Linked DNA regions of Saccharomyces cerevisiae S288C. Changing the gene in region 1 together with any one later gene gives a genetic interaction. Each region holds a gene or a part of one and is shown in the gene's direction. Other genes may lie near its edges. The genes, in order: SIM1, DIA1 and BNA3.

Region 1 (11,277 bases):
GACCAACTACGTCTGGTAAGTACGTCAATTTATCGCTGGTGGCAAATCCTTCTCATTTAGAATCCCAAGATCCAGTTGTTCTTGGTAGAACTAGAGCTTTATTGCATGCCAAGAACGATTTGAAGGAAAAAACAAAGGCCTTAGGTGTGTTATTACATGGTGATGCTGCTTTTGCTGGGCAGGGTGTTGTTTATGAAACCATGGGTTTCTTGACCCTACCAGAATACTCTACTGGTGGTACTATTCATGTTATTACAAACAACCAGATCGGATTCACTACGGATCCAAGATTTGCAAGGTCCACACCATATCCTTCCGATTTGGCTAAGGCCATTGATGCCCCAATTTTCCATGTTAACGCTAATGACGTGGAAGCTGTGACCTTTATTTTCAATTTAGCCGCAGAATGGAGACATAAGTTCCACACAGATGCCATAATTGATGTCGTTGGTTGGAGAAAACATGGACATAATGAAACCGATCAGCCATCGTTTACTCAACCATTAATGTACAAAAAAATTGCAAAACAAAAATCTGTCATTGACGTCTATACGGAAAAATTGATAAGTGAAGGCACATTTTCTAAAAAAGATATTGATGAGCACAAGAAATGGGTATGGAACTTATTTGAAGATGCTTTCGAAAAGGCAAAGGATTACGTCCCATCTCAAAGAGAATGGTTAACTGCTGCCTGGGAAGGATTCAAATCCCCAAAGGAATTGGCCACTGAGATATTACCACATGAACCAACTAATGTTCCAGAGAGTACTTTGAAAGAACTAGGTAAGGTACTCTCTTCGTGGCCAGAAGGTTTTGAAGTGCACAAAAATCTAAAGAGAATTTTGAAAAATAGAGGAAAATCTATTGAGACAGGTGAAGGCATCGATTGGGCCACCGGTGAAGCATTAGCGTTCGGTACATTGGTTTTGGATGGTCAGAACGTTAGGGTTTCCGGTGAAGATGTAGAAAGAGGTACATTTTCTCAACGTCATGCAGTCTTGCATGACCAACAATCTGAAGCCATTTACACACCGCTAAGCACTCTGAATAATGAAAAGGCAGACTTCACCATTGCAAATTCCTCGTTATCTGAGTACGGTGTAATGGGTTTCGAATATGGTTATTCGCTAACCTCCCCAGATTATCTAGTCATGTGGGAGGCTCAATTCGGTGACTTTGCAAATACAGCACAGGTTATTATTGACCAATTTATTGCCGGTGGTGAACAAAAATGGAAGCAACGCTCTGGTTTAGTTTTGTCTTTACCCCATGGTTATGATGGCCAGGGGCCAGAACATTCGTCTGGTAGATTGGAAAGATTCTTGCAACTAGCCAATGAAGACCCAAGATATTTCCCATCTGAAGAAAAGCTACAGAGACAACATCAGGATTGTAATTTCCAGGTTGTTTATCCAACTACGCCTGCTAATTTATTCCACATTCTAAGGAGACAGCAACATCGTCAATTCCGTAAACCATTGGCGTTATTCTTTTCTAAACAGCTGCTGCGTCACCCATTGGCCAGATCATCTCTTTCCGAATTCACTGAAGGCGGATTCCAATGGATTATCGAAGATATTGAACATGGAAAAAGTATTGGTACGAAAGAGGAAACCAAGAGATTAGTTTTGCTGAGTGGCCAAGTGTACACTGCCCTACATAAAAGACGTGAAAGTTTGGGTGATAAGACCACTGCTTTCTTAAAGATTGAACAGCTGCACCCATTCCCATTTGCTCAGCTACGTGATTCATTAAATTCTTATCCAAACTTGGAAGAAATTGTTTGGTGCCAGGAAGAGCCATTGAACATGGGTTCGTGGGCATACACAGAACCACGCTTACACACAACATTAAAAGAAACGGATAAATATAAGGATTTCAAGGTCAGATACTGTGGTAGAAACCCAAGTGGTGCTGTTGCTGCCGGTAGCAAATCACTACATTTGGCCGAAGAAGATGCCTTTTTGAAAGATGTTTTCCAACAATCCTAAAGATGAATTCAAATATGAAAAACATGAAAATACAGCCATATAAACACGTAATATTTTTACCTTAATGTTTATGGACAGCCTTTTTACTTGAAGAATGATCTAACAAATATTTTTTTTGATACATTCACATTTTTTTTTTGTTCATGATGTTAGCATCTGCTTAGTCTTTTTAAAATTATTTAATTTAACGTTTTATTTATGTGAACCTTTTTTTATTAGTTGTATTTACTATTTATTCAAGAATCATTCTTTACTTTATATTGATATCGTTTTTTTCCCCCTACTTCCTCCTCTGGTGTATTCACAGCTAGGTGCTTCTCTTGTCCTCATCCGGTGGAGAAAAAAAGTGAAAAATAAGTCAATGGAAAGGGGGAAGGGGGTAGGTAAATAGAGTGAATAAGTTTTATTCATCATGCCCAACTTCTATTAATATATACTCAATTCAAATATTGATCAGGATTTCAAAGAGTATGTCGGAGTTACAGTCACAACCTAAAAAGATTGCCGTTGTTACAGGCGCCTCAGGTGGTATTGGATATGAGGTAACGAAGGAATTAGCCAGAAATGGCTATTTGGTTTATGCATGTGCAAGAAGACTAGAACCAATGGCACAATTGGCCATCCAATTTGGTAACGATAGTATCAAACCATATAAGTTGGATATTTCCAAGCCAGAAGAAATTGTAACATTTTCTGGTTTTTTGCGAGCTAATTTACCTGATGGTAAATTAGATTTATTGTACAACAATGCCGGTCAGAGTTGTACATTCCCTGCATTGGATGCAACAGATGCTGCAGTAGAACAATGCTTTAAGGTCAATGTGTTTGGTCATATCAACATGTGCCGTGAATTGTCGGAGTTCCTTATTAAAGCGAAAGGAACCATTGTCTTCACTGGTTCCTTGGCAGGAGTTGTGTCATTCCCCTTTGGTAGCATTTATTCCGCTTCTAAAGCTGCTATCCACCAATATGCTCGTGGGTTACATCTAGAGATGAAGCCCTTCAACGTGAGAGTGATTAACGCTATTACTGGCGGTGTGGCTACTGATATCGCTGATAAAAGGCCCTTGCCTGAAACCTCAATATACAACTTCCCTGAAGGTAGGGAAGCTTTTAATTCAAGAAAAACCATGGCTAAGGACAATAAGCCCATGCCAGCTGATGCGTACGCAAAGCAACTGGTTAAAGATATCTTGAGCACTAGTGACCCTGTAGATGTTTATAGAGGAACGTTCGCCAACATCATGCGTTTTGTCATGATATTTGTTCCTTACTGGCTATTGGAAAAAGGACTTTCCAAAAAATTTAAATTGGACAAAGTTAATAATGCTTTGAAGTCGAAACAGAAGAATAAGGACGATTAGTGTTTCACCATCGTCAATAGCTACCTATATTTATATACAAGATTCCGTATAGTTTGTACACCACGTCAGGACATCAATAGCTAATAATCGTTCTAATGCTAATGTTCAACTGCTCTTTAAGTATTGTTTACGTCTCGTCGTACCAGTATGCCAAATTCCTGTCACTTCACTCATTCTCTTTGCTCTTACCGTTTGAAACGCGCTGGGACGGAATTCGCTCATTTCGCATCGTGCTTTGTTGTTTTTTTTTTTTCAAAATTGCCATTGTTTATTTATAAACTACATGAAATTATTCTGTATTTATCTTCGCATTCCCTCTCTTACTTCAAAAGTGAGAACAGCATATTCAAATATATATATCTACTCAGTTGAATAAGACACTATAGCAAGACCATTTGAACTGAAAGAAACAGTTTCTTTGCTCCCCTCTCGAATTCCAACTATTTACAGTCCTTCCTTTATAAAAATTAACTAGCGAGCAAGAAAACATTTGTTTAGTGCTACCCAACTACTTACATTCCTTTAAAAACCACAATATTTAAGTTAACCTGAGCTTTATTTTTAGTAAGTTATTTACCACAATTTTTCTCATACACCTTTACAATCCGTATTGCCATGAATACCAAGGCTTGCTCAGCTTCTGCAGCAGTTCAACCCTTTCCAATACCGCCAATGCGTCCTCAAAACGTTAGTTTAGTCGTGCTCAACCGCTATTTTTGGTTTTATCTTCGTTTCTTTCTCCTGAACGACATTCGTCACGAAAATTGCGGCGGAAAATTTCCTGATGCGGACACTTTTTCCCGATCCGGACATGCCTTTTTTTGGCGTTTCGCGTCAGTCAATAGAAGTTTCAGATCTACATTAGGAAGAACCAGAAAATAGCCATTAATGCTTTCAGCATAGCACAGCATAGCAGCTGTGTATATCTTAAATAAGATGTAGACTGGTTTGCATTTGGAAAGGTTTTGTGTAAGAAAAGCAATACTTGAGGTAAAACAAGAGAAAAAAAAACACTTTACTAACTAATATCCAATCCTTTATTTTTTTGCAGAAATGAAATTCTCAACTGCCGTTACTACGTTGATTAGTTCTGGTGCCATCGTGTCTGCTTTACCACACGTGGATGTTCACCAAGAAGATGCCCACCAACATAAGAGGGCCGTTGCGTACAAATACGTTTACGAAACTGTTGTTGTCGATTCTGATGGCCACACTGTAACTCCTGCTGCTTCAGAAGTCGCTACTGCTGCTACCTCTGCTATCATTACAACATCTGTGTTGGCTCCAACCTCCTCCGCAGCCGCTGCGGATAGCTCCGCTTCCATTGCTGTTTCATCTGCTGCCTTAGCCAAGAATGAGAAAATCTCTGATGCCGCTGCATCTGCCACTGCCTCAACATCTCAAGGGGCATCCTCCTCCTCCTCCTCCTCCTCGGCAACTTCTACCCTAGAAAGCAGCTCTGTTTCTTCATCTAGTGAAGAAGCTGCTCCAACATCTACTGTCGTGTCAACTTCTTCCGCAACCCAATCTAGTGCTTCTTCTGCCACTAAATCTAGTACTTCTTCCACTTCACCATCTACTTCTACTTCTACTTCCACTTCTTCTACTTCCTCTTCCTCTTCCTCCTCCTCCTCCTCTTCTTCTTCTTCTTCTGGCAGTGGTAGTATCTACGGTGATTTGGCCGACTTTTCAGGCCCAAGTGAGAAATTCCAAGACGGCACTATTCCATGTGACAAATTCCCATCTGGTCAAGGTGTCATTTCTATTGACTGGATTGGCGAGGGTGGATGGTCCGGTGTGGAAAACACCGACACTTCCACTGGCGGTTCATGCAAGGAGGGGTCCTACTGTTCCTACTCCTGCCAACCAGGTATGTCTAAGACCCAATGGCCATCCGATCAACCATCTGACGGTAGATCTGTCGGGGGTTTGTTGTGTAAAAATGGTTATTTGTACCGTTCTAACACTGACGCGGATTACTTATGTGAATGGGGTGTCGAGGCTGCCTATGTTGTTTCTAAACTAAGCAAGGGTGTCGCCATTTGCAGAACCGACTACCCGGGCACTGAAAACATGGTTATCCCAACCTATGTTGAAGGGGGTAGCTCTTTGCCATTGACCGTTGTTGACCAAGATACTTACTTTACTTGGGAAGGCAAAAAGACATCTGCTCAATACTACGTTAATAACGCCGGCGTCTCAGTTGAAGATGGGTGTATCTGGGGTACTTCTGGATCTGGTATTGGTAACTGGGCACCATTAAACTTTGGTGCTGGCTCCACTGGTGGAGTGACATACTTATCATTGATTCCTAACCCAAACAACAGCGACGCATTGAACTACAACGTCAAGATAGTTGCTGCTGATGATTCATCCAATGTCATCGGTGAATGTGTTTACGAAAATGGTGAGTTCTCTGGCGGTGCTGACGGGTGTACCGTCTCTGTTACTTCCGGTAAAGCTCATTTCGTCTTATACAATTAAGCTACGTGACTACTACTTTTCCTTTTTTTTTTCTTTTTTCGAACACATCTCACCCCCTATACCTCACACAATCACTATGGTCCCCTTTTCTTTTTACCGATATTTATACTGTCCACCTTTTTCTTTTCGTTAATGGCCTCAATGTTTCTGTACCATTATCCAAGTGAACTTGTTAGACGACCAAATATAGCCAAGATTCATTACGATTATCTTTAACTAGCAAGTAGTATTCTTGGATAGAGAGATTTTCAAAGACGGAACAATTTTAAATAGATTTACATAAGAAAACACATACTGTCCGATACCCATAAGAAATTTAAGAACTCTTTTCATCTTCAGCTTTCCGGCCTCCTTTTACTGTAGCCTGTTCCTAGACAGCTAAAAATAGTACATATGCAGCTCTGCAATAGTCTCAAAGGGGATATTGTGTAGGTTTACGAAATCATCACATTTCCGAATCAGGACATGAAGGCACAACTTTCCGCACGTAGTGTTTTCAGCCCCCAGCGCCTGTCGGCGCGAAGAGGATCTGCGGAGATGAGCTTTGCCCCGCCATTACCCGTAAAATATTACTGTTTTGGGCAATTGTGGATCAAAAAGGGAAAATGCGGATGGTGAAAAAAATTTTTGGAAATTTACTGCTTCAGATGGGGGAACTTTGTAAGTTCTTCCTTTTTTTTCGTAGAGGTTGGAAAATTCAGAGTGCTAAGAAATTAAAAGGTATGCACTGCCTATTCTCATAAAAGCAAAAGTGCACAAAAATAATAAGGTGTGAAGCAATAGTAGAAAAGACACTGGGAACCCAAGGTATCTTATTTTAACAGATAAGTAAAACTAAGATCAAATCGCGTACTGATATCACTTAAGGTTCGCGTATTTTAAAGGCTACGCAGAAGAGGAAATAAATTGCGTGCAATCCCTGCGCTTAACTCATACAAAAAGGCGCAAAACATTTCAAGAGTCCCACGATTAATTGCAGAAATTGAAAAAAAATAAGTAAAGACGAAAATCAAAGTGGATGCCATATTATGAAGCAGGAGCCACATAGACAATCCGAAGAAAAAGAGAAGCCGAAAGGACCAATGGCTGTTGAACGAGAGCAGCATACCTCATTATCTTCTGGTACAACCGTGACAGCTAGTACAGGAGACGAGAGTACCAACAGTAGACCAGTGGAATCATCGCAAACAGAAAAGTCTCTATCGCTTCGAATAAGAATATTAAAACAACTTGGGTTTGACGATATTCAAGAACTAAATGCATGCGACACTGGCCTAGTGGAGCAATTTTTAAACGTACGATTGATAAACGACACAAAAGAACTAGAAAAGATACGCGAGTCAAATCTTGCGAAACTAAACCAGATTATTGATAAATGTATGGAAAGTGATAAAATAAGTGATTCGACATTAAACAAGATTCTTGATATGTCCATGAATAGAGATACAAATAATGATAACAACAATCATCTTACGATACCGTCTCCGATAACGACAAAGAAACGCAAGATAAACGCCTCCGAACTTGCAAGTCCACGAGGCCATAGAAGATATAGATCTGATATACCTACAGTGTCAGAAGTTGAGACAGGGGTCGGATACCCTCAAATACACCAGCAACCAGGCGCATATACTTTACCTATGCCTGCAAATCAGTGGATGAGCAACCCGTATATGCAACCTCCGCAACCACAAGTGCAACAGATAATGCCGCAGTATTTATATCCACCAGGGATGGGACCACAAGCTCAGCTTCCTACAATGAGCTCAAACTCGGAGTCCCAGACACCAGTGATGAGCTCACAGTTTCTTTCCTTGAACCAGCATGGCCTTTACCAACAAAATATAGGTGCTCATCCGGTAATGAGTATGGGCCCACAGGCAAATATATACGGGCAGCAGCACCAGCTGCAACCTGGTCAGGAACGAGACCAGTCAAGAAAAAGTTTTAGTCATAGAAGGTCACAAAGTGCCAATATTTCCATGGCAAATTTTAGGTCGCCCATGCGAAATCCCCAGCCGGCTTCGTCCCAAAGGCCCGTCAATTTTCTCATTCATACACCAAAACATCCTCCTCCCACATGACGTGCAGTAATTTTCATTTTTATCACCTAATTTCTAAAACTATATCCCTTCCTAACCTTCATTCGATGCATCCGTCCACCTTACTTCAGTTCAAAAAAAAATATATATCCATATATATGCTACAGTGTTATTATTACGATTTCTTTGCCTTTACTCCTTATCTCATTTCAATCATGAATAAACAGGATATTGATAATATATGCTGTCATTTTGGATTCAGTCTGCTTAACTGTCTTGTCCACCCCCGGTGTTCTTACCCGTCTGAGCGGTCGTAAGACGGAGGTAATAATTTTTCAGCATCCTGACCTCCCCCCCAAATCTGTGCCTTTCACCACATTTTTCTCGAGAAAATGTGTCTTGGCTCAGATGATGTCGTATGAGCTACTGGACTTTTTTTTGTTGGCCCTGATGAAAATAGTAATGGCGGTTACAGAACAGATAAACGGCGTCACCATCTTTTCCTAGATAAAGAAGCAATCTCTAGATAATGGGGTATATAAATATACATTGTAAAAACGGCAAGTCAGTTGCTGGTCATTTTAGTAGAAACTCTGCTCTCAAACTTGAGTACTGCAACGATGGCAGGAGCAACATCAAGTATAATTCGGGAAAATGATTTTGAGGACGAGCTTGCGGAGAGTATGCAGTCATATAATAGAGAAACTGCAGACAAATTGGCTTTGACTAGGACCGAGAGTGTAAAGCCAGAACCGGAGATAACCGCTCCGCCTCACTCACGCTTTTCCCGTTCTTTCAAGACAGTTTTAATAGCTCAGTGCGCTTTCACTGGGTTTTTCTCCACAATAGCAGGTGCCATCTACTATCCAGTTCTGAGCGTTATAGAAAGAAAATTCGATATTGACGAGGAATTGGTGAATGTCACTGTTGTAGTATATTTTGTATTTCAGGGTCTTGCCCCCACATTCATGGGCGGGTTTGCCGATTCACTGGGCAGGAGACCGGTGGTGCTTGTCGCAATCGTCATTTATTTTGGTGCCTGCATCGGTCTTGCTTGTGCTCAAACGTATGCTCAGATCATTGTGCTAAGATGTCTACAAGCCGCCGGTATTTCACCCGTGATTGCGATTAACAGCGGAATAATGGGAGATGTTACTACTAGAGCCGAGCGCGGCGGGTACGTTGGATATGTTGCTGGATTTCAAGTTCTAGGTTCTGCGTTCGGAGCCCTTATCGGTGCCGGATTATCATCTAGATGGGGATGGAGAGCCATCTTTTGGTTCTTAGCAATTGGATCTGGCATTTGCTTCCTAGCCTCGTTTTTAATTTTGCCAGAAACAAAGAGGAACATATCCGGGAATGGTTCTGTCACCCCAAAATCATACTTAAATAGAGCTCCCATTCTTGTTTTGCCAACAGTAAGAAAATCATTGCATTTGGATAATCCAGATTACGAAACATTGGAACTGCCCACGCAACTAAATCTACTGGCGCCCTTCAAGATTTTGAAAGCTTATGAAATTTGTATACTTATGCTAGTCGCTGGATTACAATTTGCCATGTATACTACGCACCTTACGGCGTTATCCACAGCTTTGAGTAAACAATATCACTTGACTGTTGCAAAGGTAGGATTATGCTACCTTCCCTCCGGTATCTGCACATTATGTAGTATTGTCATTGCTGGAAGATATTTGAATTGGAATTACAGGCGCAGATTAAAATATTACCAAAATTGGTTGGGCAAGAAGAGATCAAAGCTTTTAGAAGAACACGACAACGACCTTAATTTGGTGCAACGTATCATAGAAAATGATCCCAAATACACCTTTAATATCTTCAAGGCGAGGTTGCAACCCGCATTTGTTACCTTGCTTTTAAGCAGTAGCGGATTTTGTGCGTACGGATGGTGCATTACTGTCAAAGCCCCTTTAGCGGCCGTTCTTTGCATGAGTGGATTTGCGTCGCTGTTTTCCAATTGCATTTTGACTTTTTCAACAACTCTAATAGTTGATCTTTTTCCCACGAAGACATCTACGGCTACGGGATGTTTAAACCTTTTCAGATGCATTCTATCTGCTGTGTTTATAGCTGCATTGAGTAAAATGGTAGAAAAAATGAAATTCGGAGGTGTTTTTACATTTTTGGGGGCTTTAACCTCCTCGTCATCGATCCTCTTATTTATTCTCTTGAGAAAAGGTAAAGAATTAGCCTTTAAGAGGAAAAAGCAAGAACTGGGAGTAAATTAAGAAGTAAAGCTTCTTGAATCAAAGGAAAATGTTCCTTTTGATCGCTCCACTACCGAGAAAGAGGAATTGGTGTGATAAGTCTTCTCAAATAGAAAGTAATAGTAAGTATTTTTTTTTTTTTAATCTGAACTCTGTAATAACTAAAATTAGAGTTAGCAGCACGATTCACTAACATAGAACGGCTAGTACTGAGTTTTGCCTTTATTATTCTCCGCCATTTTTTGCCAAGGCCGAAAATATGCTGGAGGTGCGAAATTCGGAGATTCGGGTTTCATGTTTCTGGCCCGGTTGTTAACGGACCCTTTATCTCATCTTCTGATCTTGGAGTTTCTTCTAGTTGATAAAACCATGGTGAAGCTGAAAGGTTTGAAGAATCTCTATCACTGTAGCAAAAAAATCTTCTTACAACAAAAAAAGTAAGCAAGCAATCAGCGTTCAAAGGAACTTATTCTTGCTTAAAAAAAGTGATAATCTCTTAGCACTACCATCTTCTATTAATAAAAAAATAACAGATAGCTCATGAAGAGACTTCTATAAGTAAATCATGACCAAACAACAAACTTCTGTAATGCGTAACGCATCTATAGCCAAGGAAGAACGTGAAGGATCTGATAATAATAATGTGGACAGATCCAGCTCAGATGCCATCAGTGACAACGACGCAGAAAGATCTAATTCTCATTCTGAAATAGATAACGAATCAAATTTTGATATGGTGCCTTATTCAAGGTTCAGCCATAAGCAAAAAATGCTTCTTGTCGTTCAGTGTGCCTTCACAGGCTTTTTTTCAACCGTGGCAGGGTCTATCTACTATCCAGTGCTTACTATTATTGAGAGGAAATTTAACATCACAGAAGAGTTAGCTAATGTCACTATTGTGGTTTATTTTATTTTCCAAGGGGTGGCTCCTTCAATTATGGGTGGTTTAGCTGATACATTTGGAAGGCGGCCTATTGTATTATGGGCAATCTTAGCCTACTTCTGTGCCTGCATCGGACTGGCATGTGCACATAATTACGCCCAAATCCTGGCTTTAAGGTGTTTACAGGCAGCAGGTATTTCTCCTGTTATTGCAATAAATAGCGGAATAATGGGAGATGTAACGACAAAAGTAGAGAGGGGTGGATATGTTGGATTGGTTGCAGGG
Region 2 (9,901 bases), on another chromosome or scaffold:
TTTTATTGATGTTAAGAAAAGGCTCAATTTCATTTTCTAAATTTTTACATAATAGTGATGTATCCTCTGAAATTACACCAGAACCAAGTGAGCATTCAATGGCTGACTTGATTAATACGTTTGGGGTTGTCACATAATTTAGTAAATTAGGGCATGATTTATCAGTTGGATGAATAACAATATTGAAAACTTTTCCAGTAATTTGATAAACTTCTTCAAAAGTTTTTTCCTTAACAATATATTTCATAACAAACCGGATAAAAAGATAAACGTCTTGAGAATAACCGTGGTGTATTAGGTTCTGAATCAAAGTCCCCAGGTTTAGGTGCTGCTCTAAATTACCGTATCCACAGCTTTTTAATAAATCTACATCATTCTTGATGATATTCAAGAGGTTGTCATCGGTCAATAATTGCTTTAGTTGCTCATTGGACAAGCAACCGAATAAACTTGCAACGCATGCCCCCATAGAGCTACCACTTATAATATTAGGCATCAGGTCCTGTAACAATAAACCTCTAATCACCCCAAGGTGAAACAGCCCAAACAATGAACCACCTTGCAAGATTAATGCTGTTGTGCCCAGTGACAACTTACATCTTTGGAAAAAGGATGTTGGAGTTAAAGTTTGATTATTTAATATATCCAAGCCTTCTAGAATTCGGGTCAAATATTGTTCAATAAGTAGCTTTGTACCCATCAAAGATTTTGTGAACAACTTTTTATCTCCAATACCCGCAAAGTTCCTCAACATACAAGGGCCTGTAGTCGAAAACTTCTCCTTAACTACATCATACTTCTCCTCCCTTAACATATTTTCCAATATGCTATATTGTTCAATGACAGAATTGAAGTCGTACCTCCTCGAAAAGAAATTCCGCCGCCATAAATTTGCGCCTGTTATTTCATCCACTACGGACGCTTGCTGACACCACATTTGATACGTATCACACTCATCTAACTTCTTAATAGCGTTATAATAAATGACTCTTGAGTGTGGCCGCACATAGTTAATCAGCTTTTGAACCCAGAAGAAATAAATATCGGTGATGACATGTAGAATTTCCCACACAAAAGGAGGTATATGGTCCAATGTGGCATACACTACACGCAGTATCCAGTTTTTCAAAAGGGTCGGTATTACAGCAGACACCTTGTATTCCTGCGCCGTTTCCTTCATGCTTAACGGCAACTCAAAGATGTGATATATGAATAGATGATTCCCTTACTATTGTGTCATAGTACTTCTCTATGTAATCAGTACTAATTTCTATTAGCTGCTACCCAGAAAAAAAAAAACATAAGAAAAAAAGGGTTAGGGTTGAATTTTCAGACCTAGGATAAGTATCTCCGAAATTACTAAAAACCTAGTATTTATTAAAATGCCCTACTAAAAAAGTAAAAATGACCTATAAAGAACATACCCTATTATAGAGTGGCAAAATTAAAAATTCAAAAGTATCGTCAAAGTATGGAAAAGAACCAAGACGCCACTACATTTAGGTAGACGTGGTGATCAATTGAAGTTCAAGAGAAGTGGGTAAGAATACATTGAACTAAGCCTTCATATATTTACAAAACATGTTCAGGAACAATTACGACGGGGACACAGTCACTTTTTCTCCTACAGGCCGTCTGTTCCAAGTGGAATACGCCTTGGAAGCTATTAAACAAGGGAGCGTCACTGTGGGGTTACGTTCGAACACTCATGCTGTTTTAGTAGCGTTGAAAAGAAATGCAGACGAATTGTCATCATACCAGAAAAAAATCATCAAATGTGACGAGCACATGGGGCTCTCGTTAGCCGGGTTGGCTCCAGATGCTAGAGTTTTAAGTAATTATTTGAGACAACAGTGTAATTACTCCAGCTTAGTTTTTAACAGAAAGCTTGCCGTCGAGAGAGCAGGTCATTTGCTTTGCGATAAAGCACAGAAAAATACACAATCCTATGGGGGCAGACCCTACGGTGTTGGTTTGTTGATCATCGGGTATGACAAGAGCGGTGCTCATCTTTTAGAATTCCAACCTTCCGGAAATGTCACAGAACTATATGGTACAGCTATTGGCGCAAGAAGCCAAGGGGCAAAGACTTATCTAGAGAGAACTTTAGACACGTTTATAAAAATTGACGGGAACCCGGATGAACTAATCAAAGCTGGCGTCGAGGCTATCAGCCAGTCTCTAAGGGACGAATCCTTGACTGTAGACAATCTTTCAATCGCCATCGTGGGTAAGGATACGCCTTTTACAATTTACGATGGAGAAGCTGTTGCTAAATACATCTAGGTCTGGACACAAAGTATCGTTTCCACTAAGCAATTGTCAAAGCAAGACCAAAGAAGCCTTTCACCACGGTCGGGGTTTTTTTACATATAAAGATAATAATAGATTAACTTAGTACGTAGTCTCACTTCTCATTCAAAATTAAAAAAGACGTGGCTTCCAAATCAACTAATAACCCCGCTTAATTCCGCCCTCCGCCGGGGAATAAACGGAGTTATCCCCTGTTGAAAATTCAGCATGATTATGTATCACAATACATAGGTGTTCGTCTATAAAAAGAACTACTTATTCTGGATAAACTTTCGAACTCGCTCAAACCTATTTGTTTCTGTACATCGAATAGACCCATAATCACTTCTTGGTTCCAAAAAGTAAAGTAATAGCCAAAAATGTCCCCATTGAACGTCGGTATAGTTGGTACAGGTATTTTTGCCAGAGATAGACATCTCCCATCCTACCAGGAATTTCCTGACAAATTCAAAGTCATTGCCGCCTTCAACAGACATAAGGCAAAAGCTTTGGATTTTGCAAAGGTTGCTGACATACCTGAAAATAAGGTTTACGACAATCTAGATGAAATTTTGAATGACCCTCATGTCGACTACATTGACGCTTTGCTACCTGCTCAATTTAATGCTGATATTGTCGAGAAGGCAGTTAAAGCAGGTAAGCCAGTTATTTTGGAAAAACCAATTGCGGCCAACTTAGACCAAGCAAAGGAGATTGTCAAGATAGCAGAATCCACCCCATTGCCCGTTGGTGTGGCTGAAAATTGGTTATATTTACCATGTATTAAAATCGCAAAGGAGCAGATCGAGAAAATTGGTCCTGTAGTAGCATTCACCCACAATTCTACCGGTCCATTTGTTACTCAAAATAAATATTTGACCACAACCTGGAGACAAAAACCAGAGCACATTGGCGGATTTCTATCTGATGGTGGTGTCCACCAATTAGCTCTCGTTATTTCCCTACTCGGTGAATTTGGATCTGTTTCTGCATTAACGAGACAGGTGCGTGAACGTTCCGGTGCAGATGATATTGTCTTTGCTACTGTCCAGTTGAAAAATAAAGAGGTTATCGGAAGTTTTACTTATGGGTCTGCCTTTGGTGCTACCGAAAAGTCGGTTTTCTTGAAAGTCTATGGTAAGAATGGTACCGTTACCGTTGACTTATCAGACAAAAAAGACCCCGTTGTAAAAGTCAAATTAGGGGGTTCAGCTGAAGATAACGGTGACGAACAAATTTTTAAAGTCGATAATGATGAAAGTTTCGGCGTCAACGCTGAATTTTTGAATTTTCACGAAGCTGTCAGCAAGAAGGACAAATCCTTATACCTAGGCACACCCAGAACTGCATTTCACCATTTGGCTTGTGTGGACGCGTTTTTAAAATCTTCTGCCAAGAATGGTGACTACGTTAAAATTGAGCAGCCATGATTACCGTTTTACGATGTAACGCTTTTTTAACCTTAATAGATAGATTCCCTCATATATTTATAACTATGTACCCACATAAGTATACTTTTGGAATGATAATACTAACGAGATAAAAAACCGTTGAAAAATTTCTAAGTTTTCTTGAACTAAAAATAGCCAAAATTCTCCATCCACTTGTTGTTGCAAAATGTTACGAAGGCGAGGTTCTTGGAAATCTGGATGATTATGGGAAAATTCGTTCAACAAGAACGCCGAGCCTGGACGAAATACTTAGTCGGCATGGAACTAGTTATGAATGACTTTTCCTATATAAGATCTACAACCGTTTCCAATTCACCATGAGATATATATATGTTTAACGAATCAGGTACTCGTCCGAAGCATTTCGAGTAATGCAACCCCACAAGTGTCCCCCAAGAATTCACTGGGATTTTTGATGACCGAAAGAAAGCTATTGCAGCTGCTACGGCGTCCTTTCATCTCCCTTTCTTTATTCACGGCCTTAAGAGCTTGTCCGCTTCGCCCCAAAAGCCTAATTGCTTAGAGCATGAGAGTTGAAAACGACCAGAAGTGTCGTTTTAGGTAAGCATTCGGCCATAATGAACAGTAAGTTTGTCCGAAAAATACACCGCTAGGGTTCGATAACGAAGAGCGCATATCAATTGCGTTGTCGACTTAATTGCTCTCTTAGTACAACGGTATGTGTCAGTGATAAAATCCTACCGGTTCCACTTTTTGTGAGCGATAGATGACGGAACGTATGCGCCTATTTCTTTTTTTTGGCGCAGCAAGGGACAATGGTCCCTTTTTGAGAAAATGTTGTAGGCTTGGCCATCGGCGTGAACGCATATAAAAAGAAGACTGCCAACATGACAGTATTTGAAACAACTACAGATTTGGCAAAGTTCGCCAAGATAAAGAAGACCGAAGCAGGTGCTAAGCTTCCATTAAAAGTTTTTCAAGAAAAATCTGATTATGGGTTCAATAAGTAGATACCTTCTTAAGAAAGCAGCAGATGGGCTTAAAGATGAGCAGAGATTGAAGATTGAAATGTCCGATAGCAAAAGTGTCCCAGAGTGCTTTCATTTTAATAGGGAAAGAAGAATGCCCATAGCCGAGATAAACGGCGAGGATGGGTTTTTCATGTTTCCGTCTCAGCAATCGCTTGAAAATTTTGAAAACACTAAAAAGTATTCGAATGAGCTGAGTCCAGATGCAATTGGTATTCCATTATTCCAAATTATCAATTGCACTCTACCGTTTGGTAAAAGAGGTCATAGCAATACTGTGGTCGGCAATGTCCCATATTATAAAATTTTCAAATTTATTTTAAGAACGGCAGACGAACCTCCGCCTTATACTGTGGCAAAAATCGTTTGCTCAAACAACGGATTAATATTGTATAAAGTGCCTCTTTACGACATATATAAAAATGTCAGCCAAGCAAACGTAACTTACAGCTTCGTAGGGACTACGTCTACGGAGCCCAACTTACTAGCAATGGCTCACCGAGAAGGACACAGGGATTTGGACACTAAAGTGAATAATTTAAATCTCAGGTGGCATGTCACTTATTCGCCCGTAGTTACCAACGATCATTATAAATTAATTCTGTTAGCAGATTATGAAGTGAATCGTTTGGATGAAGATGTCATTAGAGCCGCTAAAAATAAGATGTCCATCGACCAAAAGGATCAAAAAGTTCAGAGGTTCGTGGCAGCTCATTATACTAGAGAATTTGAAACATCTCTTTTTAGGTGGGTCGCTCAAGAGGGCCACTTAATTCTTGGCGAGTATTCCACAGATCAAGGATCATTTGGATTGAATAATATCCCACCATTGACGGAAGAACTCGGGTGTCAGAGCCTGCTCATACATTACATAGAGTACATGAAGAGACAACGTAAAAAAATTGCGAAAGAGGCAAGGAGACAAAATAAAAGAAACGTTGCAAACACGACTAACATGAACATGAACCTCATGTAACAAAAGTTTGCGTATAATAAACCAGTATAGATGTGTAACTGTAATTTTTAACTTATCACAAGCTCGTTCCCTTCCTGCGTTGAAAAAGCGGGACAATGCCAGAATATAAAAAAAAGAAGAAACTTTAAACCCTGTCATATCTTGTCCGAGATCTCGTCGTTCTTGTTTAATTGATCTTCTTCGTATACTGCCAAAGGTGCCAAGGCACAAAAAAGTTTAAAGTGGCACGGGCTATTGCGTCACATAAAGCCCGTAGCGCAAAAAAGTGATAGCTGACTTCATTAGATCACCAAAATGGAAAAAACTTCGTGAAGATTTCTTTTTATCTTCCTCACAGTTTTTAACTTCCGGGTGTTATACTCTCCGTTTGAAAAGTTGATTTTGTTAACTTTCCTCTTTCCTTTTGGAGTAAAAACAATATCCTCGATAGGCAAGACCTTCCTGCACCGCTATGGCGGCCATTTTGATTTTTCTTTACTGTGGGAAGCAAGAACTTGTTCAGGCGCCTTCCTGGATAAGCCATCTTTTTTCAAACAGTTTCTTCTATACGATAGGAAAGTCGTTGGCCAATCGATTAATTAATTGAACAATAGGAGCCAAATAAGCAGGATATCTTCTTTCGTATACCGCCTGCCTCATTATTCAGAACAAACACGAGTGATCTGACACTATGAAGTTAGCAGTAATCCTTTCTAAGAGAGGTGGCCCAAAATTCGAATAAAATTAACTTTCCTTACCATTTAGCCTCTATCAAAAAGGTTCTAAAAAGTAATATCACACAGCCGAGCCTAGGACGTCACCTCTTTCCTACACAGTTGACATTACTTATGTACTCAAAAGGACGTATGTACCAAGGAAAGCATAGTTTTTATTCAAATCGAGTTTTTTATTCTTATATCCTGCTTAAAAGTGGTGATTAATGAGGAAAAAATGACAGCAAGAATGAAATAGTATGTAATTTCTTTAGATTTAGCGGTGCCCGTGCCTTCCACGCGCAACTGTTCTCTCTAATTTACTATTCGCTTTGAACGTAAAATGTGCTTTAGTTTCCCAGATGTAGCTCAAGTATTATACCATCTTTTGCACCTACTTTACTAAATTCATCTCAGGTATAATTGTATCGCATATTCTATTTTTTTTGACATTTAATGCAAAATTGTGTACCTTTCGTTAAGGCGAATTTTCTGGACCATGCGCAGATCTGATCCAAAATAAACTTTTTTTCATGAAGCTCGTTTGCGATCATTGCCTGTGAATTTAGCGAAGGTGTCAGTCCACGGCGACTTAGAACTCACGTAAAAATAAGCATCTTGCTAAGACTGTTCAGCAGTCAACAGTAAAGTTCTGAAAACATGTTTTCTTAGTCTCTATCTTTGCCCATGTTCCTCTCAAGTGGAACAAAGCTAAAAATGAAATATTAATTTTATATAAAGTCTCACTCACACCTGTGGTAATTTTGTTCCCTCAGATTTGTCAATGATTCTGTCATAGAAAAGGTATCCACAAGAAAGGGTAGCGCCGTATCAAAATGGGTTCATCTGGTTCAAAATCGACCACAGCCACTACCACATCGCATAGTAGCACGACTACTACTAGTAGCACAACCAGTACAACTACGCCTACTACCACTAGCACGACAAGCACGACAAGCACTAAAGTTACAACTAGCCCAGAAATTATTGTCAGTAGTTCTAGCACATTAGTTTCTTCTGTTGTACCCGAGTTTACTTCTAGCTCGTCGCTCTCCTCTGATACAATTGCCTCAATTCTATCATCGGAGTCATTGGTTTCCATTTTTTCTTCTCTTTCTTACACATCATCCGATATTTCTAGTACATCAGTCAACGATGTCGAATCATCAACCTCTGGCCCCTCAAACTCATACAGTGCGCTTTCCTCCACAAATGCACAACTGTCCAGCTCCACTACAGAGACTGACTCCATAAGTAGTAGTGCTATTCAAACATCTTCCCCGCAAACCAGTTCATCAAATGGAGGTGGTTCCTCTTCGGAGCCATTGGGAAAGTCCTCTGTCCTTGAAACTACTGCTTCATCTTCTGATACAACTGCAGTCACATCCTCCACATTTACCACGCTTACTGACGTTTCATCTTCTCCAAAGATAAGTTCCTCAGGATCGGCTGTCACTTCAGTTGGTACTACTTCCGATGCCTCAAAGGAAGTTTTTAGTTCAAGCACGTCCGATGTTTCTTCCCTACTATCAAGTACTTCCAGCCCCGCAAGCTCTACTATTTCTGAAACCCTACCATTTTCCTCTACAATTTTATCCATCACTTCCAGCCCAGTAAGTTCAGAAGCTCCATCGGCAACGTCTAGCGTAATTAGTTCAGAAGCTTCATGGGCAACGTCTAGCTCAGTGAGCTCGGAAGCTCCATTGGCAACGTCTAGCGTAGTGAGTTCAGAAGCTCCATCGTCAACGTCTAGCGTAGTGAGTTCAGAAGCTCCATCGTCAACATCTAGCTCAGTGAGTTCCGAAATTTCGTCAACAACATCTAGCTCAGTAAGTTCAGAAGCTCCATTGGCAACGTCTAGCGTAGTGAGTTCAGAAGCTCCATCGTCAACATCTAGCTCAGTGAGTTCCGAAATTTCGTCAACAACATCTAGCTCAGTAAGTTCGGAAGCTCCATTGGCAACGTCTAGCGTAGTGAGTTCAGAAGCTCCATCGTCAACATCTAGCTCAGTGAGTTCAGAAGCTCCATCGTCAACATCTAGCTCAGTGAGTTCAGAAGCTCCATCGTCAACGTCTAGCTCAGTGAGTTCGGAAATTTCGTCAACAAAATCTAGCGTAATGAGTTCAGAAGTTTCATCGGCAACGTCTAGCCTAGTGAGTTCGGAAGCTCCATCGGCAATTTCCAGCTTAGCAAGTTCTAGACTGTTTAGCTCTAAAAATACATCAGTTACTTCTACTTTGGTTGCTACAGAAGCTTCGTCAGTAACTTCTAGCCTAAGACCTTCTAGTGAGACATTAGCAAGCAATTCAATCATTGAAAGCTCTTTGTCGACGGGTTACAATTCGACCGTTTCTACCACAACATCCGCCGCATCTAGTACACTTGGATCTAAGGTTTCGTCAAGTAATTCCAGAATGGCCACTTCCAAAACCTCATCTACTTCCTCCGACTTGAGTAAGTCTAGTGTAATATTCGGCAATAGTTCTACCGTTACAACCTCTCCATCAGCGTCTATCAGTTTAACCGCATCTCCACTTCCATCGGTCTGGTCTGATATCACCTCTTCGGAAGCTTCATCAATTTCCTCTAACCTGGCTAGCTCCAGTGCGCCATCTGACAATAATTCCACCATTGCAAGTGCCTCGCTGATTGTCACCAAAACAAAAAACTCAGTCGTTTCATCAATTGTCTCTAGTATAACTTCTTCTGAAACTACAAACGAATCCAATTTGGCCACATCTAGTACATCGCTTTTGAGTAATAAAGCTACTGCCCGTTCTTTATCAACATCCAACGCTACAAGTGCTTCTAACGTTCCAACAGGCACATTTAGCTCCATGAGCTCTCATACTTCGGTGATAACTCCCGGCTTTTCCACCAGTAGTGCGTCACTCGCAATTAATTCAACTGTCGTTAGCTCATCATTGGCAGGTTATAGTTTCTCGACACCTGAAAGCTCTCCAACTACTTCCACTTTGGTTACTTCAGAGGCTCCTTCAACCGTTTCCAGTATGACCACAAGTGCCCCATTTATAAATAATTCTACCTCTGCTAGACCTTCGCCAAGTACAGCTAGTTTCATTACTGAATCCACTTCAAGCATTTCCAGCGTGCCATTAGCGAGTGGCGACGTCACTTCCTCATTAGCGGCCCACAATTTAACTACTTTCAGTGCTCCTTCAACATCCAGTGCACAACTTGTAAGCAAATCAACTACCTCTAGCTCCATCCTGGTCACACCCAGAATCGACAGGTCTGGAAATTCCTCAACTGCCTCTAGAATTGCAACATCACTCCCTAACAAAACTACATTTGTTTCTTCCCTAAGTTCAACATCCGCTCATGCCAGAAATATCTTTAATTCAACTGTTCTAGCTACTGCTAAACAAATTGAAACTTTAACTTCAACAGTCAATTGCAGCAACCCTACTCCTAATTACAACATAACCAAAACAGTAATCGTAAGTAGGGAGACTACTGCCATAGGAACTGTTACAAGTT
Region 3 (11,427 bases), on another chromosome or scaffold:
CCACAGTTTGAACTTTAGTCGTCATCTCGTCTTGGATGATACCTTCCATGTAATATCTAGTACGTCTGGTGACCTACTCTGTCTTTTCAATGACAACGAGATTTTTGTAATGGAAGTTCCTTGGGGCTATTCCAACGTTGAAGACGTTTCCATTCAAGATGCATTCCAAATTTTCCACTATTCAATTGATGAAGAAGAAGTTGGTCCGAAATCGTCCATTAAGAAAGTTTTGTTTCATCCAAAGAGTTATCGTGATTCTTGTATAGTGGTTTTGAAAGAGGATGACACTATCACGATGTTTGACATCCTTAATTCGCAAGAAAAGCCTATCGTTTTGAACAAACCGAACAACTCCTTTGGTTTAGATGCACGTGTTAACGACATCACAGATTTAGAATTCAGTAAGGACGGATTGACGTTATATTGTCTAAACACCACAGAAGGCGGTGATATCTTTGCATTTTATCCATTTTTACCGTCAGTATTACTGTTAAATGAGAAAGATCTCAACTTGATCCTAAACAAATCTTTAGTAATGTACGAGTCCCTGGATTCTACAACAGATGTTATAGTTAAAAGGAATGTTATTAAGCAGTTACAGTTTGTGTCAAAACTGCATGAAAATTGGAATTCAAGATTTGGCAAAGTCGACATACAAAAGGAATATCGTTTAGCCAAGGTTCAAGGACCATTCACGATAAACCCCTTTCCCGGCGAGCTGTATGACTATACTGCTACAAATATTGCAACCATACTAATTGATAATGGGCAAAATGAAATTGTTTGTGTCAGTTTTGATGATGGGTCTTTAATCTTACTCTTCAAAGATTTGGAAATGTCAATGTCGTGGGATGTTGACAATTACGTGTATAATAATTCTTTGGTTCTAATTGAACGAGTCAAACTACAAAGAGAAATTAAGTCTCTAATAACGTTACCTGAACAGTTGGGAAAACTTTATGTCATTTCCGATAATATTATACAACAAGTAAATTTTATGAGCTGGGCTTCTACATTGAGTAAATGTATCAACGAATCGGATTTGAATCCACTTGCAGGATTGAAATTTGAAAGTAAACTTGAGGATATTGCCACCATAGAAAGAATTCCAAACCTAGCGTATATCAACTGGAATGACCAATCTAATTTAGCCTTGATGTCGAATAAAACATTGACTTTTCAAAATATTTCAAGCGATATGAAACCGCAAAGCACCGCAGCTGAAACAAGTATCAGTACAGAAAAAAGTGACACGGTAGGAGATGGTTTTAAAATGAGTTTCACACAGCCCATAAATGAGATTCTTATTTTGAACGATAATTTTCAAAAAGCCTGTATTAGTCCATGTGAACGAATTATCCCATCAGCAGACCGCCAGATACCTTTAAAAAACGAAGCTAGTGAAAATCAGTTGGAAATTTTCACGGATATTTCCAAAGAATTTTTGCAAAGAATTGTTAAAGCTCAAACTTTGGGTGTTTCTATCCACAATAGAATTCATGAGCAACAGTTCGAATTGACGCGCCAACTACAATCGACATGCAAAATAATTTCAAAGGATGATGATTTAAGGAGAAAATTCGAAGCACAAAATAAGAAATGGGATGCACAACTAAGCAGACAGTCAGAATTAATGGAGAGATTTAGTAAATTGAGCAAGAAGCTATCTCAAATCGCCGAATCCAATAAATTTAAAGAAAAGAAAATAAGCCATGGTGAGATGAAATGGTTCAAAGAGATACGAAACCAAATATTGCAATTCAACAGCTTTGTTCACTCTCAAAAATCCCTTCAACAAGATTTATCGTACTTGAAGAGTGAACTAACTCGTATCGAGGCAGAAACTATCAAAGTCGATAAAAAGAGCCAAAACGAATGGGATGAGCTACGCAAAATGCTTGAAATAGATTCAAAGATAATTAAAGAATGCAATGAAGAATTGTTACAAGTTTCTCAGGAATTTACTACTAAAACTCAATGAGTAAGCGACTTGCATAGTCTGCTATCATATATGTACGCTAAGAAACAACTGGGCAATGGTATAATATCATGTAGCAAGAGGACATTATATATGAATTGGTCAATATATAAAGCCTTCTGTGCACCAAATCGTTAGGATGATTTTTCAGTATGCTGTATCATTGTATCGTATATTCATTCGTATCTCTTTTACCTCACTAACCGCTGCCAAAATTTACATGTATACAAAATAAAAGTCTTTTTTATGACCTTATTTGGTGAGTAATGCTACTTTTGTAAAGAGTGATGGAAACTATTATTCCAAAGGGTTAGAAGAAGGTGAGGAATACGTTCATATCACCGCTACAGATCGTGTCTCTCGGTTATGAGTAATCAAACCCTCTGCAAGCAACACAGTTACTTTTTTTCGGTTTTTTCTTTTCGTGTGAATTTTTATCCAGTGAGTTTCCTTGTTCACTTTCGAGAATGGAAGGCTGATTTCGAATTTTTATATTCAACAACTGTATTTGTATTAGGCTTTGCAATAGTAGATGAAAAGTGCAGAAGACGAATCTGCTACCCTCACAATACAAAGAAAAACAAAATCGTCATTTTAATATAGGAAGACACCGCTCAGGTAATTCAATATTGAATCTGGTTGCACTTTTCTTACGATGTAAATACCCACAAACTTCTTGTACGGTGAGCGTCTGACAACGAAATCAATTTACGGAGCAAGGATTTTGACAGTAGAGCAGATTGTTTTGAGTAGGATTTAGGAATCAAGACCTCCATCTTTGTCGCATTATTCCTAAATGTAACGTAACTCGTTTGATAAGAGAATGTCTAATCGAAGAGAGTTAATAACTTAATAAGCTCTTTAAAAGAACGATGGCATTTATCGTCTCCTATGCCAAGATAATTACTGGCTCAAAATTGTTCAGCGTTCATAAAACTTTGATATCACTTTCTGGCGCACAAGCTAACCTTTATGTAGTTCTTACGTAGATTCTTTTTAGCAAGTGCCTGGTAGTGGTTATTACATAAATGTATCTTTTCATTTGATAACAATTTCTTCAGTAGCATGTCGTGTCTAGCACGTGACGTAGAACTGTGGCTTTTTTGTTGTCATTATGACAATCAAGATACCAAAATTCAGTCATGTTTAAAAGGGGAAGGTACGATAGAGATATATATAAAGTGTTCAATTTACTATAATTGCGTATAGAATCCATTGTTACTTGCTCTCAATGAAACAACGATTCATTCGTCAATTTACGAACCTAATGTCTACTTCGAGACCGAAAGTTGTTGCCAACAAATATTTCACTTCTAACACTGCCAAAGATGTTTGGTCGCTAACCAATGAAGCCGCTGCAAAAGCTGCCAATAACTCCAAAAACCAAGGCCGTGAACTTATTAATTTAGGCCAAGGCTTTTTTTCATATTCCCCTCCTCAATTCGCCATTAAGGAGGCTCAGAAAGCCCTAGACATTCCAATGGTCAATCAATATTCTCCAACTAGAGGTCGACCTTCATTAATTAATTCCTTGATTAAGTTGTATTCTCCTATTTATAACACAGAATTGAAAGCGGAAAATGTTACCGTAACAACAGGTGCCAATGAAGGTATACTTTCTTGCTTGATGGGGCTTTTGAACGCTGGCGACGAGGTTATTGTTTTTGAACCTTTCTTTGACCAATATATTCCAAATATCGAACTTTGCGGTGGTAAAGTTGTTTACGTCCCCATAAATCCTCCAAAGGAATTGGATCAAAGGAATACTAGAGGTGAAGAATGGACCATTGACTTTGAGCAGTTCGAAAAAGCGATTACATCCAAGACAAAAGCTGTCATTATCAATACCCCTCACAACCCAATTGGTAAAGTTTTCACGCGCGAGGAATTAACCACTTTAGGTAACATTTGCGTCAAGCACAACGTTGTGATTATATCTGATGAAGTCTATGAACACCTTTACTTCACTGATTCTTTCACTAGAATTGCCACACTCTCTCCAGAAATTGGGCAACTAACCTTAACGGTCGGTTCTGCCGGTAAATCGTTTGCTGCTACTGGTTGGAGAATTGGTTGGGTCTTATCCTTGAACGCAGAGTTGTTAAGTTATGCAGCTAAGGCACATACAAGAATTTGTTTTGCATCTCCATCCCCTCTACAGGAAGCTTGTGCAAACTCTATTAACGACGCTTTAAAAATTGGGTATTTTGAAAAAATGAGACAGGAATATATCAACAAATTCAAAATTTTCACATCGATCTTTGATGAATTGGGACTACCATATACAGCTCCAGAGGGTACATATTTTGTCCTCGTTGATTTCTCTAAAGTGAAAATTCCCGAGGACTATCCCTACCCAGAGGAGATCCTGAATAAGGGAAAAGATTTTCGCATTTCTCACTGGTTGATCAATGAATTAGGTGTGGTTGCCATTCCACCAACTGAATTCTATATCAAAGAGCACGAAAAGGCTGCTGAGAATTTGTTAAGGTTTGCAGTTTGTAAAGATGATGCTTATCTAGAAAATGCCGTAGAGAGATTAAAACTACTCAAGGACTACTTATAAGATAAATTTTTTTTTATACTCCTTTTTCTCAATATATAGATTTTATAAAGCATGTATATTTTTATGCAGAAGTGGTAAATATAAACATCAATATTCCAGAATAATTCCATATTTTCTTCGCGTACTACAAGAAAAAGTGAACCCTTAATGAAAAATAGACAATATGAACATTTAGTAATGTTTTGAACAGTGTATTTATAGAGTACTTAAACACATATGAAGATATAGCGCAAGTAAATATAAATGAGTGACAAATCTCATCAGATATATTGCTACTTTTGGCTCTTTGGTTTGATCAATAATGTACTTTATGTGGTAATACTTTCAGCAGCTGTTGATATCGTGGGTCCTACCTTGCCTAAATCTCTAGTATTGCTAGCAGATATATTCCCATCACTCGCCATTAAATTGTGTTCCCCATTCTTTATTGATAGAATCAAGTACAGCTATAGAATATGGTCTTTGATCACGATGAGTTGCTTAGGAATGTTCTTAGTTTCTTTTAAAAACTTGTTTGTTTGTCTTTTAGGAATATCTTTCGCATCTATATCTTCCGGATTTGGAGAAGTGACATTCCTACAGCTAACACACTATTACAAACAAATTTCTTTGAATGGATGGTCGTCAGGTACTGGTGGTGCAGGAATCATTGGCGGAGCATCTTATATGTTCTTAACTTCAATCTTTAAAGTTCCAGTGAAGCTAACTTTACTAGTATTTAGTCTCCTTCCATTTGCATTTTTGTTTTATTTTAAATTAGAATCCAATGATACCAACCTGACTTACCAAAGTCTTCAACAAATTGACGAAGCAGAGGATGACCAGTTGGTGCCCTTTCCTGTCGCCTTTACACATACCAACGCTTCGCAATCCCTGTATTCTACAAGACAGCACATTTTGCAAACGGTCAAGAGACTTCGAAGATTGGTTTTTCCATACATGGTTCCATTGACCACCGTCTACTTATTCGAATATTTAATAAACCAAGCGGTAGCTCCGACCCTATTATTTCCGATTAATGGTGATGAAAGAAGTAAATCGATGCCATTTTTCTTCCATAAATACAGAGATATATACGTAACCTATGGAACGCTCTACCAATTAGGTGTCTTTATATCAAGATCCTTTGGACATCTTATGAGAATGAGGAGTTTATACATCTTAGCGTTTTTACAAGGTGTGAATTTGTGCATAACGGTACTGCAATCATGGTTTTATGTCACACATTCGCCCTGGGCGGTGATGATATTAATATTCTATGAGGGTTTTCTTGGTGGTGCGTCATATGTTAACACATTCTTAAATATTCTCGAACAAGAGGATCCTGATGAAACAGAGTTCGCCATGGGTGCTGTGTCCATCGCTGATTCCTTTGGCGTTTTTTTGGCTGCGTTACTTGGTTTGGGGCTAGAACCCAAACTTTGTAGGCATCAAATTGCCGATGACAGACCTTGGTGTAGGATGGAATAAAGTTTTGTTGTGATATTAAATAGGAGATTGAAATAAAGTGTTAGATGCTTTCTATATACTCATTCTAATGCCTGCTAATAACTCTTCGATAATTCGTTGATTTCTATCATTACTTTGAATGGTACTCAATATGCCAAAACACTGCAGTAATGTCAATTTATCTGTTTCTGTGACATTACTTTCTTCTTCTTGATTGAAAATGTAAAGTTGAAAACTTTTGCTGATACCATCGTTACTATTTACGAAGTTTTCATAACAAGGTAAGACTATTGAATCTCTAAAGCACATAAGCAAAAGAAACCCAATAGAATAATTACCATTAATGTGAGTCCGACTTTCATTGCCTGACTTTAAAACCGTAGAATTACCATCTTCTCTGATACTCTGATCCAACGGTAATAACACAGCGGCTAAATCATAATATACCTCTTGATAAAATATCCGCCATATAACGCCTAATCTTTTCAATGCGTTATTTATTGTGTCTTCATTAGAATAGTTAAAAACAATTTGGTTTTCTAAATTGTATAGGGAACTAACCAAAAATTCTTTCAAATCGCTGATAATTCTATTCATGCCGCTATGTGTGACTCTTGGATCTGTTTTTAAAATGCAATAGAATTCTAAAACTTCGTTAAAATTTTCTATTTTGGCCCTGAGTTTCCATATTCTTTGAGTTCTGAATAATTCTGCTACGTTACTACAAAATATATTCCAAATATTATTTGTTAGGGTTGTCAGTTCTTGGGAGTTGAAGTGTTTATAGTTAGCTTCCAGAGATGGTAAATTTCTTAAAAGGTCGTGTAACATTGAGACCGGATTCGGTGAGGCAGGATCAGTTCCAGAAAGCGGATCCTCAACGATTGTGTTGGGATTGACACCAGATGGATTAACATTCAATGAGTACACAGAAGTTCCTGAGTCCACAAGTTGCCCCGCATTAGTATGAATAAATTGTGACGGAGATTTATGTCTTCCGTAAGAGGAATGCAGAAATTTACTCAAGGAATTTGGAATTGCAGGCTCGATAGCATCTTGACCAATGTGCCTGTGGCTTTTATTTTGGAAAAAGTTCTTAATCACGTTTCGAAATGAATGTGAACTATTATGTAAGGTGCTTGAATCTGTCAAAAAGGAGGCAGGATCCGATGAAATGGTCGTATGTGCTCTGTTTCTCCTATTAAAAAAGCCAGAAGCCTTTCCTTTCATATACCTGCCGGAGGGCGTGGAGTGTAAACTTTTCTGAGTAATGGATATTGCATCAGAAGATAACTTTTTAGATAGATTGTTCGAGCACTCCACCGTGTCAACGCTATGAGATTCCCCTATCTGAGAAGAACCAGATTTAGATGTTGCAGCTGAGGCATTGTCATTGCTCCTCAAGGAATGATTTGAGGCCACACTGACCTTCGATCGAGGATGATCTACTGTATGGAATATGGATTGGAAGCCAACGTTAGAAACACTAGGGCTAATGGGGTTCCTCGAGCCCTTCAAATTCTTGATGGAATAAACGTCATCATTTGATGTGTCTACAAGAGTTTGCCGGCTAATCTCGCTTGTAGTCTGAAAATTTTTTACTGGGGCTGTGGCTAATTGCACATTAAGGTATTGTTCGCTATTGACAGGGCGTTGTGTCGTAGTAGATGTTCTTTCTCGAAGGAGTATATCTTCTGCTGTCATAATGAAAGAACTTTATTTCTACAGAGGTCAATTGGCGTTTCTGTCACCTAGATCTTTTCATTTGGTTATTCCCTCTATAAATTTACTCATCGGTCAATTTTTCTAACATTATGCACCTTTGTCACCGGCCCTTAGAAGAGGTGAAGATGATTCGTGAACATTGGTGATAAGCGAGAATATTTTCTATAAATTTGTAAAGTAAAAATAAATTACGTGCTATTTAGTTTGCAATGTGTACTTATTGTTAGTATATGTATTTTTTGCATGCGGCGATGAAGGCCAGTAAAACCAACGCTCTTGCATGCTTACCTCTTTCATCAGCTGGTGATTTAAAAACCATTCCCAACAATATCAGTGACATATAAGAGAGCCACGACCCCGTTTTGGTACACTTAAATATGATTATCGTTAATATCATAGAAACTAGTTTGTAACAAACCTGGATTGTTCTATTTAAAGCAGAATACTTTTGGAGGTTTTGGGTTGATACGGTGCTCAAATTTTCCTCTGGTGCTGGTAATGATAAAGTAACGTTGTCTCCGTCAATATAATCATCAGTAAAACTGTTGGTATTCTCATTCACTTCCGAGATTGTACTGAAGTTCAAAGTGCTATCCACATTTTCTTTCCAGAATTTTTTGCCGGGTTTGGAATTTATTAGCATTTCATCTAACGTCTCCTCCACTGTCTTCGCTGTGGGTCTAGCATCATTATTTGGTTGTAAAAGAGCGTCCATTAGGTGAAATATTCTACGGTCTATTGGTTTCAATTTCATCGCTTGATGCTTTTCAATCATACCTTCAGTGTCGAACCTAAAATTTTTGATGCGTACCTTCAAATCAACTATATCCAACTGTGGTTCAAAGGGCAATTCACCGAAGACAATAAAATAGCAAATCATTCCTAGAGAATACATATCGGAAGCAAAGGTGTATTCATTGTATGTGTGACTCGATCTTGAAGGCAACGTAGAAGAAGAAACTGGTCTCCCCTGGATAATAAGGTCTGGTGCTGTAAACTCTAATGTTCCTGTGCAACCAGTACCCAATCTGGACTCTCCTTCCAACTGACTTTCCCCCAAATCGCCAATAACAATTGATGGGAAAAACTCATCTGAATTGTGTTCCCTGTCGTATACGTTGTCATTCTCATTGTCACTTTTAAATGGAGTCAATAATAAACAGTTGGATGGTTTCAAGTCCCTATGTATTAGGCCAATACTGTGCAGTTCGTGTAAACCTCTTGCAATATCCCTTATAATGGATACGAGCTGTTCCGTAGATAGGCCAACTTCTCCTGATTTACCGTGATTTTTCTTGCGAGTTCTAAATTTTTTTTTCCTCTCTTCAGGTGATTCGGTATCTGAGAACCTATTGAACACTTTTCTTAGAATACAGTCTTCTAAATTGCCGCCACTGCAATACTGTTGTAAAATGAAAATACAAGGAACTTCTTCTTGTGAATCCGATTGGCTCCCATCAATGGATCTGACAAATCCAACCGAAGAATCCATTTCGAGCCACACATGATTATACGTAATCAAATTGGCACTTTTGTGAGTTAGCGAACTCAACGCTTTCACTTCCCGTATGCACTTATTAAACCATTCCATATCATTTCCAATAGGTATTTTTTTTAGTGCAAAAACACCTAATTCAGTATTACCAATTGTGTGTACAACTTTGTAAACAGAACCTCTTGCACCATTTCCCAGCAAAGACAATATTTTGAAAAATTTACGAAAGTATCCGGGGATAAACAAATCATCTGGAATAAAGTATTTGTTTTTGCTGAACTGTCCCTGCTTATTGTTACTATCGTTTTGTAGGGCGTAGTGCCGATGATTTCTTTCCAATGACTGAAAATATCTTCTTGAAAAGCTTGAATTGGCAAATTCAAATCCAAGTGGCACAGTGTTCTCTGGAATACTGAGCCTACTGCTTTCTGATTCTACTCCAGCAGAGGCTCGACGATGAAGTTGTCTTCTGTTTATAATATCAGGGTTAATTTCCGTACCACATTGCGGGCACACATAGGAAGCAATAGGGCTTTTGTATTGATGAATCCCTGAAGGAAAGTCCAGTGCTGATAAAGATGCAGTCTGGTCTTCATTTAGTTCAGAGTCATTATTACTGTTGTCCTGTTGGAAAAATGATAAAGTTCCTGAGGTTGGATTAACAACCACCACTGATTTAGAATTAGGATCATCTAAAATCAGCGAACCTTCTTCATATGGTACTAAACTCATTTCTAAGTTCTACTTATGCTATCCCTCAAACTATATATCTAATAGTGTTTCTTCGGTTACCTAGTTGTCACTCATAGGATCTATATATACAATGTCCTTCCCCCCCACCCCCTTTTCTGAAACGTATACAAAAAATAAAGCTTGAAATACGTTATTACGTAAAAAAAGTGTACTGTAAAAGCTTACAAAAAAGAGTTTGCGAAAAATTATAAATAAAAAGTAGTCTAGGTAAAATATGAAATGTTTCTAATTATGCATTTATGTGATCCTGAAAACCGCCCTTCTTACGTTGGACCATGATGATCACATTTATAAATATGGTTTTCTTTCCAATGCGCATTTCACTTTCTGTGAGTTCAATTTTCCCAAATCGTCAAAGCTTTTGGAACAGTCAGAGCACTTGTATTTTTTCTGATGGGTCTTAATATGTTTGCTCAAATTTGACGATTCGTTGAATCTCTTACCACAAATCTTGCATTGTAAAGGTTTTTCACCAGTATGGGTTCTTATATGAATCTTCAAAGAACTTGAAATCGCGAATTTTTTATTACAAATGTGACATTTGTAAGGTTTTTCGCCAGAGTGTGTCCTGGTATGCTGAACTAAAGTTTCTTCGCTTGAAAAACACCTTTTACATGTCTTGCACTTATAAGGTTTGTATTTCGAATGCACTTTTAAATGACGGATTAATTTTTGTCTTTGGGGGAACGTACGATGGCAGTCATGCCACAAGCATTGGTATTCAGACTTACCCCGGGTTAAATGTACTGCTTCTAAATGGTCGTTTAATTCCTGAGCACTGGAAAATGACTTATTGCAACCATCCCATTGGCAAATCACCTGTTCCGGCTGCTTGATTGGCGGTATATTGGAAACATCATTTGCAGACGTCATATCAGGTGCTCCATCTGCTTTAGAAACTTCGTGTGTTTGTGGGTTGGGGCAATGTAGTAAGTGATGTTTTTCCTTTGATATACTACCAGGCAAAAATGAGTCTGGGTTGGCAAATTGAATATCAAAATTGATACCATGTTGACAATTAATATGGTTCACTATGGAACATGTATCATCTCCAAGGAAATCACAGTCCTCCCAATTACAAGCTAATGGTTCCATAGGGTGTTTGAAATCTTGAGAGACATGATCCTTCAAAAGATGTCTTTGTAGGTCAAATAGTGAGCTACAAGACTCAGGACATTCTTTCCATTTGCATTTTAAGTCATTGTTTTTCTCTTCTTTAAAACACCAGTTGAAATTTATAGTGCTTGTTGTCTGTATAGGAGGAGAGATGCTAGAAGGTAATGAGTCTTCCAAAGAGCTGAAATCAGTAGATTCTAGATCTTTTGTAGGCCAAGATCTACGATTTTTCTGATTCTGATGAGTGACTTTGGGTAGCGAAGGGGGCTCACTTTGATTTCTAAATCTTTCATAACTATACTCTCTTGAAATTAAGTCATTTAAATCGTTGTTAGTTAGATCGGC

What was found.
Region 2: mutations in SIM1 (region 1) and DIA1 together harm fitness more than expected from each alone (negative genetic interaction), as found in Saccharomyces cerevisiae (one large-scale study listed by BioGRID).
Region 3: mutations in SIM1 (region 1) and BNA3 together harm fitness more than expected from each alone (negative genetic interaction), as found in Saccharomyces cerevisiae (one large-scale study listed by BioGRID).

What each region holds. Positions count from the first base shown.
Region 1 is NC_001141.2:123,743-135,019, forward strand, and holds SIM1 (putative glucosidase SIM1), read left to right. Parts: upstream 1-4,408; coding exon 4,409-5,839; downstream 5,840-11,277. Other genes in the region: alpha-ketoglutarate dehydrogenase KGD1, read left to right, coding at 1-1,991; AYR1 (acylglycerone-phosphate reductase), read left to right, coding at 2,462-3,355; POG1 (Pog1p), read left to right, coding at 6,868-7,923; QDR2 (cation transporter), read left to right, coding at 8,502-10,130; QDR1 (multidrug transporter), read left to right, coding at 10,675-11,277. UniProt on the Saccharomyces cerevisiae protein: Involved in the remodeling of the cell wall during the various phases of yeast culture development and under various environmental conditions. Required for the maintenance of the CLB5 kinase activity.
Region 2 is NC_001145.3:900,128-910,028, forward strand, and holds DIA1 (Dia1p), read left to right. Parts: upstream 1-4,697; coding exon 4,698-5,708; downstream 5,709-9,901. Other genes in the region: TGL3 (bifunctional triglyceride lipase/lysophosphatidylethanolamine acyltransferase), read right to left, coding at 1-1,180; PRE5 (proteasome core particle subunit alpha 6), read left to right, coding at 1,582-2,286; YMR315W (uncharacterized protein), read left to right, coding at 2,673-3,722; YMR315W-A (uncharacterized protein), read left to right, coding at 4,159-4,266; YMR316C-A (uncharacterized protein), read right to left, coding at 5,535-5,846; YMR317W (uncharacterized protein), read left to right, coding at 7,237-9,901. UniProt on the Saccharomyces cerevisiae protein: Involved in regulation of invasive growth.
Region 3 is NC_001142.9:320,177-331,603, forward strand, and holds BNA3 (kynurenine--oxoglutarate transaminase), read left to right. Parts: upstream 1-3,209; coding exon 3,210-4,544; downstream 4,545-11,427. Other genes in the region: linker nucleoporin NUP82, read left to right, coding at 1-1,981; amino acid transporter YHC3, read left to right, coding at 4,788-6,014; BIT61 (Bit61p), read right to left, coding at 6,066-7,697; protein kinase IKS1, read right to left, coding at 7,942-9,945; ZAP1 (Zap1p), read right to left, coding at 10,255-11,427. UniProt on the Saccharomyces cerevisiae protein: Catalyzes the irreversible transamination of the L-tryptophan metabolite L-kynurenine to form kynurenic acid (KA).